Linked DNA regions of Styela clava. The protein of the gene in region 2 purifies or fractionates together with the protein of the main gene of each other region. This does not show direct contact. Links are inferred from orthologs where the notes say so. Each region holds a gene or a part of one and is shown on either strand. Other genes may lie near its edges.

Evidence for each region. Proteins that work in one complex are often made in the same cells at the same time.
Region 1: the proteins of ras-related protein Rab-5B-like (region 2) and rabenosyn-5-like purify together in Drosophila melanogaster (affinity purification with western blotting; 3 studies listed by BioGRID, with this or other methods). This does not show direct contact. The link is inferred for Styela clava from reciprocal best matches to the Drosophila melanogaster genes Rab5 and Rbsn-5.

Annotation. Positions count from the first base shown.
Region 1 is NC_135258.1:11,764,724-11,771,659, forward strand, and holds the start of rabenosyn-5-like, read right to left. Parts: upstream 3,107-6,936; 5' UTR 3,039-3,106; coding exon 2,864-3,038; intron 2,011-2,863; coding exon 1,864-2,010; intron 1,273-1,863; coding exon 1,172-1,272; intron 333-1,171; coding exon 290-332; intron 32-289; coding exon of another isoform or gene 1-31. Other genes in the region: proprotein convertase subtilisin/kexin type 7-like, read left to right, coding at 4,214-6,568.
Region 2 is NC_135261.1:2,886,065-2,892,996, reverse strand, and holds the start of ras-related protein Rab-5B-like, read right to left. Parts: upstream 3,040-6,932; 5' UTR 2,993-3,039; coding exon 2,827-2,992; intron 1,939-2,826; coding exon 1,787-1,938; intron 1-1,786.

The DNA.
Region 1 (6,936 bases), on a different chromosome or scaffold from region 2:
TACCAGGATCCGTTTCATCCATTTGCAAAAGCTAACAAACAAACAAACGAACAAAAGTGAAGTTTAATAATAACTACTGCAACGAAGTGAAAAATTTTAATCCATTAAAAATGTTGAGAAAAATTAAAAAAAAAGTAGCGCAGCAGAAACATGCAAAGAAAACAGGTTGTTCGACATAAAACATAAACGATTAAAGCGAACACTTATCCAATTTGTGCTAATAAATCATGCCTTGTAAACACCATGAAGAGTAGCATGCATAAAACTATGTCCTATAATAACAAATAACCTTTGTGATTACGTTTTCCATTAAACCTGACTGGTTTCAAAAGCTGCAAAATTAAGGATAGACATATCCTCATTTACCATAATGCAATAATATTAGAGATGAAAAAAAATGACGCATGACAATTTTGAGAATAGTAACATAAAACATGAAATATATCTAGATTATGATGATAGAAATTAGAGAAAGTTGAAATCTAATGCCAAAAACATAAAATTCCACATATGCATCATCGTTTTTTCAACTATTCCATTACTAAATTGCTTTTCTGTGAAACTTTAATTTAATGCATCGCATATATCATGATGGACTTTACAGTGAGACATTATTGTAGGATACAAGACAATACAGATATAAACATCCACACTAGGAGAGCAAGACAACTGATTGCCAAATGAACTGTAATTGCCACAAAACTACGGTATATATTGTTTCCTGAGTTACTTATGTTTGTAAATTGTAATCCAATGATTTCATTGATGTTTTGATCACACTCACCACTACAACTAAGGTATGACAAATGGTAAATGGAGATGAGAAAACAGAAAATAAACTAAGAACATTGAAAAATTGGTAGTGGGATATAAGGCCAAAAGGTAAAAATTGGCCAAATGTAATACAGAATAAAACAGAAAATACTTAATCCTTAAACATTAAAATTATAAAAAAATTTCCATTTAAAATATAATTTTCCAAAAATACAATTGGAAATCTATGTATGCCATAATTGTCACAAAATCTGGTCTCAATAAATTTAATTTTACCTCCAGCCCTAAATCCCATAAACTTTATATAAGAGTTTCAAATATCAGACGTGTATGACTGCAATACAATTTTACTATTTTAATAAAAAAAATTTGCACAAAATGAATTAGTTTTACTAACCTTTTCCAGTCGAATAACTATTTTATTCGTTTCAATGACGACTCTGTCAATTCTTGCATCCCTCATAGATTTAAATTTATCAATATGACTTTTAGTAACACCTGAAAAGCATTGATGAGTAGATGAAAACACGAATGAATAAGCGAAAAAAAATATGGCTGTGGAGTCAGTATCTGGAAGTAAACATTGGGAGTTAAAGCTGAAGTCATGTTTTTAATCGTGCCAAGACAAAAATCCATAATTTTTATGGTGGTGATCGAAGTCAGATTACAAATGGAAACCTGAAAAGCATTAGGCTGACTAAGCAGTCTCAATAAACAATTAAACAGATTGTGTACATTGAAGTTTTCATGGTTAAAATTGAGATGGAATCTGGGGTTTTGAGTAACAATTTTTTTAATTTACGGTTTGGGGCCCAGAGACAAAATTTATTTCATCCAGATGTCACAGCAGAAGTCGTTTTTTAAACATCTCAGAATTTGTAGTAGAGTAAAAAGTTTTCCACGACGCAAAAGCCTTTAAAAAAAAATAGGGCACGGAAAACTCCGAAACTGAATAAACAAAATTTTACACTACTGTCAAGTATTCGTACAACCTCAAGTACATTAATCATAGAATGCAGTAATATATTGCATGACTCAAATGTGAAAATAGAGAAAAGTAAAATATGTCTATCTTCATTCATTTAATACCTAATTCTTGAGGTTCCCAAAAAGCTGGATCTACAAACGATAAACTCCTGTTTGATGATGAGGATTGAAAATTTGAAAATGGATTTCGATCATCATCCTCTTCATATTCTCTTCCTAATAATTTATCTTTGGCTTTGGAAAACAGGCCTGAAAATAGCGATAAATTATGATGAAAATGAATAGTAAGATATTTAAAAAGGTGAATACTGAAGAGATTTTATATATATATATATATATATATATGCTACATTGAACAAAACACCAAAAGCATTACTATTCAAAAAGGATGTAATGTGAAGGTGAATATCCAGAAAATTTTCAAATCGAACATGATTGGGCATATCTGTTCATCTCAGGATGATTTTTTCAGCAGAGTTAATACAAGTCCCAAAGTCACGAGTTAAGACTGGTCGTACGATTCTCAAGTCAAGTTCAACTGGCGGTTAGTTGATTATGAGTCCCGGTAAATGGTGACTGAAATCAAGTCAATGACTCAAGCCTTAATCACACTGGTTGTCAGATATCAACAGCCCAGCACCAACGACTCAGCAGTGGCAGAAATAAACTATGCCATGACATACGATTGATTTGTAAAAATGAGGCATATACCGGTATATTTGGAATCGGCAATTGGCATAAGGAGGGAAAGAGCGAGTCTATATTTCACAAACAACATCAACACTAATGAATAATGTATTACGATATTGAATATAAAAGCCACATTTTCAGATAATATTGTTCCATGTCATTATGTGGGTCATTCCGCAAGACTGATGAAGGGGCTCTTAAATCCCGACTTGCTATGTTTCACTGCGATATGGCGTTCACTCTCAGTACGGTAATCATTTAAGTTGACAATACAAATATTATATACCGAGTTTACCAGATCAGTAGATAAAGAAATAAATAAAAAATGAACAACAGCATGAAAAGTCACCTTTAACAGATCAAAGAAATGATAATAGATAGCTTTAAAGTTTGGGGTGTTAGTTTCATTTACCTCTGATTTGGCTCATAACAGCCTTATCTTCATTAGAGTGTTCTGATTCAAAATGAGACTGTAGATTATGAAAAGACTGAAGATCCTGTAAACACATTGGACATAGAAAACCCTCCATTACAGAATCCCCTTCAGTCGAATCCATCCCACTACCAGAAGGCGAAAACGCCGCCATAAACTGATAAAGACAAAAATAATGCAAAATCAGAAGAAATCGATAAAATCCCCGAAAACCAGAAGGTGATACTTCAACTCTTTTGCGCCCTCTCACGATCAGACATAAGGCAAATATCATTTGCAGTGACAGTGTAGTGGCAGTTCATCAGAGATGGAGGCACTGGAGTACCGTACGGGAGTCATTTTCTTCCAGAATTACCGTAAAGTTCAGGTGAGTTGAGGAATTGTAATGAAAAATTAATGTGAGCTATTGACAGGAAAATAGCTTTAGAAATTCATATAGAGTGTTATCGAGAGGTGTGCCATTGACAAAATGTAATTAAAAGATGAATGAATGCCGGTGAACATTGCACAGTATTTATTTTATGTCTGTGTACGGTATGTAGAGTGCCAACAGACTGCTGAACTAGTACGGTACGTTAACTTCTATGCGGAAATGAGATACAATTTTTGCCATATGATGTTTATATATATATATGTTTGGTATGGAGGTAAAGTGGAGAAATATCGAAATCTGTGTTCTCGGTTGTCATAATATGCAGTTTCCAGGTTTCTGACTTTTCACACAAATGCGTTCTCATAGCATACCGTAGGCTGGTAGGTAGGTATCTAAATGACAAACACATTCTTAGTCTTCTTGTATACCAGTAAAAGCATCCAAATCGAAACAGAAGCCTCAGTCTAAAGTAAACTTCGTAACTCTGTAACTCCTCTTAAAATAATGCCAAAAAACAAGTAGTGGAAGTTAAATGAGTACCAAAACTGCTTAAATAATGCCTAACAAAATTGTGATGTGAAATTTTGATGTTTTTTTTTTAAAAAGTATGTCTGGCACGGAATGAAATTTTTGATAAATGCCAGTTCACCAAATAGGTTATCAATAAGGTTCCACGTGAGACACTTATTTTTTGAAAAATTGAAGTTTGGGCTGCATTTTCACATTACATTTTTGTTTTACGATATGTAAGCAGTTATTCAAGGCGGTATTTAGGCACTTACGGCGTGTACTTTGCTAGGCTCGTTATATGATAATATTATTAAGTTACGCGATCTTGCACTTGTCCATAATGCATTGTATAAATATGCTTATCCGGATTTTAAAATTCTTAATATTTTTCTAATCAATTCTCTAGATGTCACTGTAGATTTATAATAATTAAGACATGTTGGAAAATGATTAAAAGATGGAATCACTTGGTGCAACTTTCAGTCATTGTATTTTTGACATTCATCCATTTCATTCTGGGAACTAGTAATTATAGTACACATACATGGAACATAAAGATAAAATATTATGACGATAACCATTCACACAAGAAGCATTTTGATGAACTTGCGAATGGCATTGCTGACGAACTCGGCGTATTTAATAAGGGACAGATCGGAGAGTTGACAGGCTTTTATCTTTTTGAATCAGATACGAATAATCATGACCATTTATTGAAGCTTTTTGATAACCATAAACACATAGAGTGGCATAGTAAAGAAGTTGATTTGAAGCGAACGAAACGTTCGCATATTAATGTGCCAAATTTATTGCACTTCAATGATCCATTGTATAATGAACAATGGCATTTAAAAAATCTTATTGGATATGACTGTAATGTTACTGGAGTCTGGGCTCGTAACATCACTGGAAAAGGGATTGTCGTGGCTGTAGTAGATGATGGCGTGGAATGGCGACATCCAGATTTAAAAGACAATTACTGTAAAGAAGGAAGTTTTGATTTAAATTCTAACGACGATGATCCCTCGCCTGTTTATGATGAAGAAGAAGAAAATAAACACGGTACAAGGTGTGCGGGTGAAATTGCCGCAGTTCCAAATTCAGTTTGTGGTGTTGGAATTGCATTCGGTTCAAAATTTAGCGGAATCAGGGTTCTGGATGGTACAACTACAGATTCGTCAGAGGCAACTGCTTTTAACAAACATATGGATGTAAATGATATTTACAGTTGTTCATGGGGCCCGGAAGATGATGGCAAAACTGTTGATGGTCCTCATGATTTGGGTCGTATGGCACTACAACATGGTGTTGTCGCAGGAAGGGATGGATTTGGTTCAATATTTGTCGTGGCAAGTGGCAATGGTGGTCTTAAGGGAGACAACTGTAATTATGATGGATATGCAAGCTCAATTTATACAATTACAATCGGTGCTATTGATGAAATGGGCAATAAACCATCATATGCGGAAGAGTGTGCTTCTATGCTAGCTTGTTCTGTCAGCTCTGGTTCTGGTTTATTAATAAGAGACATTGTAACAACAGACTGGTCACTTCCACCTGGTAATTCAGCTGATCAATGTACGCATAGTCATACTGGAACATCTGCAGCTACGCCATTAGCAGCTGGAATGGTTGCACTGATGTTGGAAGCAAGACCTTGTCTTACTTGGAGAGATATACAACATATTATGGTAATGACTGCTGTTGAAGTTGACCATGCAACCGCATGGACTCAAAATAAAGCTGGATTTCGACATAGTAATATCCACGGCTTTGGTCTTCTAGATGCGTGGCGTTTAGTAAATGCCGCCAAAGTGTGGAAATCTGTGCCATGGTTTACGTCGCTTACTGCCGATACGAGCCATGATAAAAATTTAGCTATTTCTATGGATAGACATGAATCCTTGATTTTGCACACTGAAGTTACAACTGAGAACTGTAAAAATAATATGTTATCAACATTAGAGTATATTTTATTCACTGTCACTGTAACCCACCATACCAGAGGGAACCTGAAGTTTATTTTGCTTTGTCCATCAGGAACTAGATCGGAGGTTCCAACTCGACGGTCCGATACATCAGATAAGGGACTCACCGATTGGAGTTTTTCAACAGTAAAATGCTGGGGCGAAAATCCAGCTGGGAAATATACATTGAAAGTCATAGACACAAGTAGGAAATTACCACAAGGGGAAAGTTTGGGGGTCTTAAAAAGCTGGAAATTAACTTTGTACGGATCAAGTTGGACTGCAGATGAAATGAAAAAACGAAAAACATATATTGAATCTGTTATGGATGGTAGTTATCTTGATAATTTCAGTCTTCCTTGCCCTCCTGGTACACCTTTAGAATTCGATGTCACATCCGCACTTTCTGATCGCACCATTAAACTTGTAACAATGATATCTTGCTTTTTATTGTTTTGGGGAGTATATTACACAATTGAAATGGCATTTTGTAATGCAGAAGACAAAGAGGAGAAAGAAAATGATATTGAAAATGATCAAACTGATGCTGAGCGGATTGAAACACCTCAAAATGGATATGGTACATCTACCGAGAGTGTGCAACTTTTTCCTAATTCTACCTTCATAGGTACAAATGAAGATGTAGCAATGCTTGATATCGAAGAAGATACTCAAATAAATAACGGCGATCCTGGTACACAAAAAGAAGCTGAATTGAATGCTGCAATGACCATTTCTAATACTGATTCATTTCTTTCTGCTGAATTAGAAGTCAATTCACAAATTAATGATGAAAATATTGTAATTGACAATTCAATTGAAGATGTTACGTAGTACTTTTAAAAAAAAAATGATTGTGAAATTAACACTTCATCTACTCCTAACACTGAATCATTCTTTTCTGGCGAATGGGACAGAAGCATGTTAACAATTTATTACTACAATTTGATTTTTAACAAAGATGTTGCATGAGTTGATGATATTGTTTGCAGCAAGAGTTTTTATAACCCGAACGTCCCGAAGTATAACAAATGTCAGTATTTTGTATGGAAAAGAAACATACTGCGCCGAAAATTTGTTATTAGTCTAGTCTGTTATTAACAGCCGACATATCCAATATGCTGCAATTAGATTAGAAGATGATCGTTTGGTATTATTTTTCGCATGCGTAAGATATATTTATATATGAATAGTTTTGCACT
Region 2 (6,932 bases):
TAATCCAATCCATGACTGGTACCGGCATTTAAAATGTCATGCCGTATTAATTTAATTCTGTTCAACGTAACTCAACGTACTCGACAATCTGTGGACATAAAATGTGTGGTAAACTGACCGATATTATTAAATATTGATTCCTATTTTTATATTGATAAAATAATGAAAGTATTAATACCAAATACAACGGGTATTTGTGGACATGAAATACGTGGTAAACTGCCCAATTATAATTAATTTCGGATTCGTATTTACAAAATATTAAAACCATTATAATTCTAAAATGCAACGGCGATCTGTGGCCTTAAAATGTGTGGTAAACTGCCCGATTTACCAACATTTGAGTTATGATAATAGAATTAAATTAACACAGTAAGGCATTTTAAGTAGTGGTATCAGTCATGGATTTGGATATTTTGCGCAGCACAAAATCATCCTAGTAAAAAGTCCATACTTTTAAATACAAACCAATGGCAACCATTATCCAAATTAGTTCCCAAGAGCGGGATAAAGAATAAATTCTTTTTCCGACTTGTGACAATTTTTCGTGAGTACGAAAATAAGAATCAAAAACTAATTATATTCGGCACAATATCACGGCAATCTGTGGACATAAATTGTGTGGCAAACTCGCGATTAATATTAATTTTTGATTCCTATTTTCGTATTTACAAAATACAACGGCGATCTGTGGACTTAGAATGTGTGGTAAACTACCCGATTATAAATAGTTTTTGATTCCTATTTTCATATTTATGAAATAATAAAAGTATTATTACTCAAACATACAACGGCGATCTGCGGACTTAAAATGTGTGGTAAAGTTCCCGAATATAATTGATTTTTGATTCGTATTTTTGTACTCACGAAAAAATTGTCACAAGTCGGAAAAATACCTCATACTTTATCCCGCTTTTTGATAAATAATTTGGATAATGGTTGGTATTTAAAAGTATGGGCGTTTTACTAGGATGATTTTGTTTTGCGCAAATATTCCAATCCATCATCGATACCACTATTGTCGTATTAATTTAATTCTGTTAACATGACTCATGGTACTGTATAGAAAATATATACTGCAATAATCTGCAAATAAGAAATGCCTGGATATTTGGCAAGGTTGTAACTTTAGATAGCAGTTATTCCATTGCTTATTGTATGGAAATTCCTACATACATTTAGATAAGCTTCAATTAGTGGATTTTATTTCCGAAGTATTCGAAATTTCATATTCGAAAAAAATAATTTCGAATGTATTCGAAATAGTGAACTATTCGATATTGGCCATCCCTGGGTAAACCATTTTCCTGAAGGAAGCTTTAGACAAGATACCAATCATAATTATGTGGAAAACTAAATTAGAACAGAGTATTTACCGTACATTTAGGGTACCATACAACTTGTAAAGTGTAAAGTAGGCGAACAAAATTAGTTACCTCCATATTGGTACACATACTCTGGAGCGCCCATTCTAGTATATCCTATTCAATTTGTTCACTGACGACTGGGAATATGATTCGAAACAGAGATTTATAACTTACAACAAGGGATAAAAAAAACGAACATGTCAAATATGCTTGAAAAACGTGGATAATTTAATAATATAATCGGAATAAAAATTCTCCATTTTAGCTCATCCCAGGTTTTACGTCCACAACACCAGTATAATATGACCAAGACATCATGACAAACGATAATTTTTCACAATTTCAATGCTTTTAAGACCCGCAAAAAATAATTATGACCACGAATTCATCATTTTGATCAAACAATGGATGGAAAATACCTGGTTTGTGATGTCATAGACAACAATTGCTGCTTGAGCGCCTCTGTAATACATGGGCGCAAGACTGTGGTATCGCTCCTGACCAGCAGTATCCCATATCTCAAATTTTACTGTCGTATCTTGAAGACAGACTGTCTGTGTGAGAAATGCGGCTGAAAAAAAAAAATATTGATTTACCAAGTAAAATATTGCTAATCAGACCAATTTACATCCAAAATTTAAATTATTTTATGAACGTCCATTCAGAGACTTTCTTTTTGAGAAAACCACTCAAACCAGTCAGTATATTGTCAACTGATATCTACAGTACAGTTCTTTCAAATAAAATAGCCCCGACATATCAGAGGGTGCATGTACAGGAAACAAGAATTGTAAGAAAAAATTAAGTAATTGGTTATCAGTAGTTTATCTTTCACTATACTGAAAGTAGGCCAAGACATACAAATTTGGTAATCTCGTAGTATGTGTACCAGGTTAAGGTTAGGCCATAAGTTTATTCCGATTTTCCCTATTTTAGTTCTATTGAAAGTCTGGGACTTTCTGTGTTAGCCAGGTGGATATACACAGTGGTGGGATTTCAAATTTTTTGTCAGCCGGTTCCATCATAAAAATGTCGAATTTTCAGGCGGTTCTGTTACAAAAAGTCATGTAATGCTAACCGGTTCGCTGATCTCATAAAATTCTGTGAGACGGTTCTATTGAACCGGTGCGAACCGGCTGAATACCACTACTGGATATACCCCCTGCGAATAGGCCGATGTACAGTAGGCGAATAAAATTAGTTACTTCCATATTGATACACACACTTCTTGTGCGCCTAAAAGTGCAATAAATTATGAAAAAACGGCATTTCAGGATGAAGGAGACTTGGAAAACCAATACTGGCTATTGTGCAGCGGCACTCATAATTGAGGGATTACTGTCATTACTCTTAGTTGAGACTTGAGCTTTGCTTTAAGAAAACTTTATTAAACGTAATTGAAAATTATTCGACTTTTGACACCAAGACTGCACAATTAAAAAAAAATGACTCCACCCACCTCCTATTGTAGACTCCTGATACTCATGGAATTGCCCTTTTACAAAACGCAACACCAAGCTACTTTTTCCAACAGCTGATTCGCCGAGAAGTACAAGTTTAAACTGACAGATTTTCCCAGGGCCTCCAGGCCCGTTCGGTCTTTGTTGTGGGGATCGTGCAGCCATTATATTAGTTTATTTATTATATTTAGTAATCTCAATACTGTAATTCTGTTAAAAAGTGATATTAGAAATTACTGTTTGACTGTCAGATGTCAAATGCTCAAAATACCAGCTTTTCAAATTAAAATGTTCCTAAAATCCAGAAGTTTCTACATTAAATATAACTACCGTAATTTAGAATGTACCAATCAATTTTTAACTTGTATTGAAATTCCATCATTTGAAACAATGGCTCCCAAAGTTGATTGACCACAGTTCAAAATTAGAAGCGAAAGGATATAGGGGAGCGCCTGCAAGGGACTGATGTCGATACAGGTACAAAAATTAAGATACTAATATAATTGAATTGTTACGAATAAGCACGTGCTGAGATAATAATGTAACAAATGGACAATTGGCGGTATTTAGTACATGAAAAGGTAAAAAACGTCAAGTGTTAAAAAACTATTTCACTTAAGTTCGCCAGGCCATATCAAATCATTATGTGGACCGTAACTGGCCCGCAGTTTGGGAACTATGGATTTAAAATAACACATTCTTACATCATTGGGTTTCATAGCAGTCAGCATAAACAAAAAAGCGAAAATTCCACTGACAAGATGCCACTCAAAAATAGTTTCATACCATCACCAGATAAGATGAACACATGACAAGAATACTCCTTCATAAATTCCACAAGCTAATCAAAAAAGAACTCAATTGGGTATCTATCACCACAGCACATTCTTTATTATTGCATTCCTTTTCTATAATATGCAAAGCATCAGTGTTCTAGAAACCGACAGTCCTGGCCAGGTCAAAATTAGACTAGTTATGGCCACTTTGTAGTCTCATATAGAACATAGCAAGAAGAAATATGACTTAGTTACATTTTCAATCAGTTCATTTCTTTTATGTTTATCTGGAATTTGCAAATCATTACTTCACTGCAAATTGGTACTAAAAATCATGATTTCATGACGAAAAATCATTTTATCAGGGGTAACCCACAGTTGGCCAAAGCTGAACGACTTACTAATATCAAAACATAAAAAAAAATTCCTAACATGAAATATAGGATATACCAGTATTTTTCAGTTCCCAGAATTTGAATGAAGGCCTTTTCATAAATTTGGTGCAAGCCTAGCTTCCTATCCTTCCCCTATGCCTTTATGCTAGTTGAACCGTATGTGTATGTGTATATTGCAAGGATGCTGTAGCAGAAAAAAACATGACTATTCTATCCAATTAAAGAGTCCTGCTGCACACTAACACAAATATATTTCTGTAACATTTCGTCTGACCAAACTCAAGACTTCCTCAGACAAGCAGTTTACAACAATCATTGTTGTAAACTGCTTTTAGATCATGCTGTGATATTTCAATTGCTCAAAATAATAATTTTTTAAAATGAAACTATTCTAAATATTCAAATACATTTGCATGTTCAATTCCCCAATTTAAATTATATTCAATATACCATATGCACAAATTTTAATATGAAAGGTATTACAAATTAAATATTAATACAGGTATACAATATTAAGGTATTCGGTTAGAAGATTAGTTGGTTTGGCCATCCCTCAGTAAAATATTTGGACTACAATGGACACTGTTAACATGCCTAACTATAGTGAAAACTACCGTAACCTGTTAAAGGTCAAGACAATATCTATGCAACTGCTCTTTTAACGGCATTCCAGAAGTATGTGTACCAATATGAAGGTAACTAATTTTGTTAGCCTACTTTACATCAAGTTGTATAAAGGGACTCAAACCTATGGGATGGGCAAGGGTCATATTCATTTGGCTAACACAGACAGTCGCCGAACTCGTGATAAAACTAAAATAAGGAAAATCGGAATAAAACTATGCCCTAACTATAACCTGGTACACACACTACGGGAGTACCCTTCTAACACTGTAATACTCTCACCAGTACCACAGTCCACTACCAAGAGTGAGAATACACTACTAATAAAAAGCAAACAATTGCGTAACCACCATGTATGTTTGCTGACAGTCATTCCTGTACATCGGATCAGATATCACATGTATTATTTTGTACAAAGAAGCTCATACTGAGTAAATATTACAATATCAGTAATCAGTATATGATATGTTAGAAAATTGAATAGATTCAAAATTAAATAGATTCAAAGGTGAAGGTATAGGTGACCCCAAAAAAGAGAATCCATAAATTTCTCAACTTCAGCTGAAATGAAGACAATTTATTATTAACTTTTGTTCGTTTCAGTAATCTAGGCTGGTTTGCACAGAAGTTATGTTCTATGAAGAATATATATCAAATGACTTGGGTCCTGTTTTCTTTTGGGTCACTTCGTATTTTAGAAATAATACGGAATTGTTTTATTCCAAGAAATTGCCCATCTCTGCCATTTGCCAATATCTGCCATTTACACATGACAATGAGGTCGGAGACAATAATAGGCTTATCCAAGTAACCAGGTTTGTTACTTATCGATTTTAATCGGTAAGTATGTTGATAGGTATTTGTCTGTCTTTTTTTTTTTTTTTTTTCATTGTATAGCAAACTTTCATATTTTATTACATTTATTTTTTTTTTGTTTGCCAATTGATCGAATTAATAGTTGATTAGTTCCCATCCAAATTTGATTTGATCCCATTCCCAAAAATAAACATTTGCATAGAAAAATCATGAAGGCAAAAAAATTATACATCCACAATGATAAAAATTTTTTTTTATTTGTCTGAATTTGTCTGTTAGATGCACGCGATATCTCACAAAAGCCAGATTGAATCTGCTCCAGATTTTGCATATGTGCATTCATCATATGTCATACCAGAAGCCTATTGATTTTGGATGAATTATGTCGTATAATTAGCGAGATATTAATTAATTAGTGATGGGACACAAAGTGTCACTATGGAGTAAAAGCGCTGTTTTGGGGGATCCCCTAACTTTCGATCGGTAAGTCTTCGGTCTCTGACCGATGTTCTCGTTTTATTTTTATTCAGTATCAATTGTAGGTCTTAAGACAGCCAATTTTAGGTCTCATAATATTAAATATGGATATAACAAATTCAAAATTTTGACGACACTAATTTATTCTAAATTCCTGATAAAATATTGAAAACAATAAACTAGTAAACAACAAACCGATATTACATAGATATTTTATTTGATTGGAATTTTTCAACTAAAATACACTATTCTCAAAAATTTTTGTATAATAAATAGCTACTAAATTTCTAATGAAAACAAACTGGTAATATCCTACCTAGGAAATACATAGATAGTTTGTGAACTGTTTTTATACCTTCAGTTTGTACAAGGCTCGAGATGAACTGCAGTTGATTGGTAATAATCTATCAATTACATGAACAATAACACTATTGTCTCACTATTTTCTAGGTAATCTCGTAGTATGTGAACCAAGATGGCAGACACCGGAACGTAGTATGTGTACCAGGTTATGGTTAGGCCTTAATTTTATTCGAATTTTACTTATTTTAGTTATATTACGAGTTCAGGGACTAGACAAGTGACTCGCATAGTATTTGTACCTGAATTTATGGCCTAACCCTAACCTGGTAGGCTGGTACACATACTATGTTCCGGTGTCAGCCATCTTAGTTCACATACTACGGGAGTACCATTTTCTACAGTTTCACAGAAATTGGATGAAGTCCTACTGAGAAACCTCATATCCTGAACACACAAGTTTACAAATAAAATACACCAACCTATTCTAAGAATAAAGAATTCATAATATGAAATACTAGTATAACCGTAGTAAAACCGTAGTTTAAAATTTTGATGACACTAATTTATACTAAATCCTCATTGAAAACAATAAACTGGTAATAACTATGTAGTAATACATAGATATTTCAATAGCGAACTTTTCAAATAAAATACACTTTTTTGAAAATTTGTAATACTAATAAATACCGTTATAACAAATTAAATATTTCAATG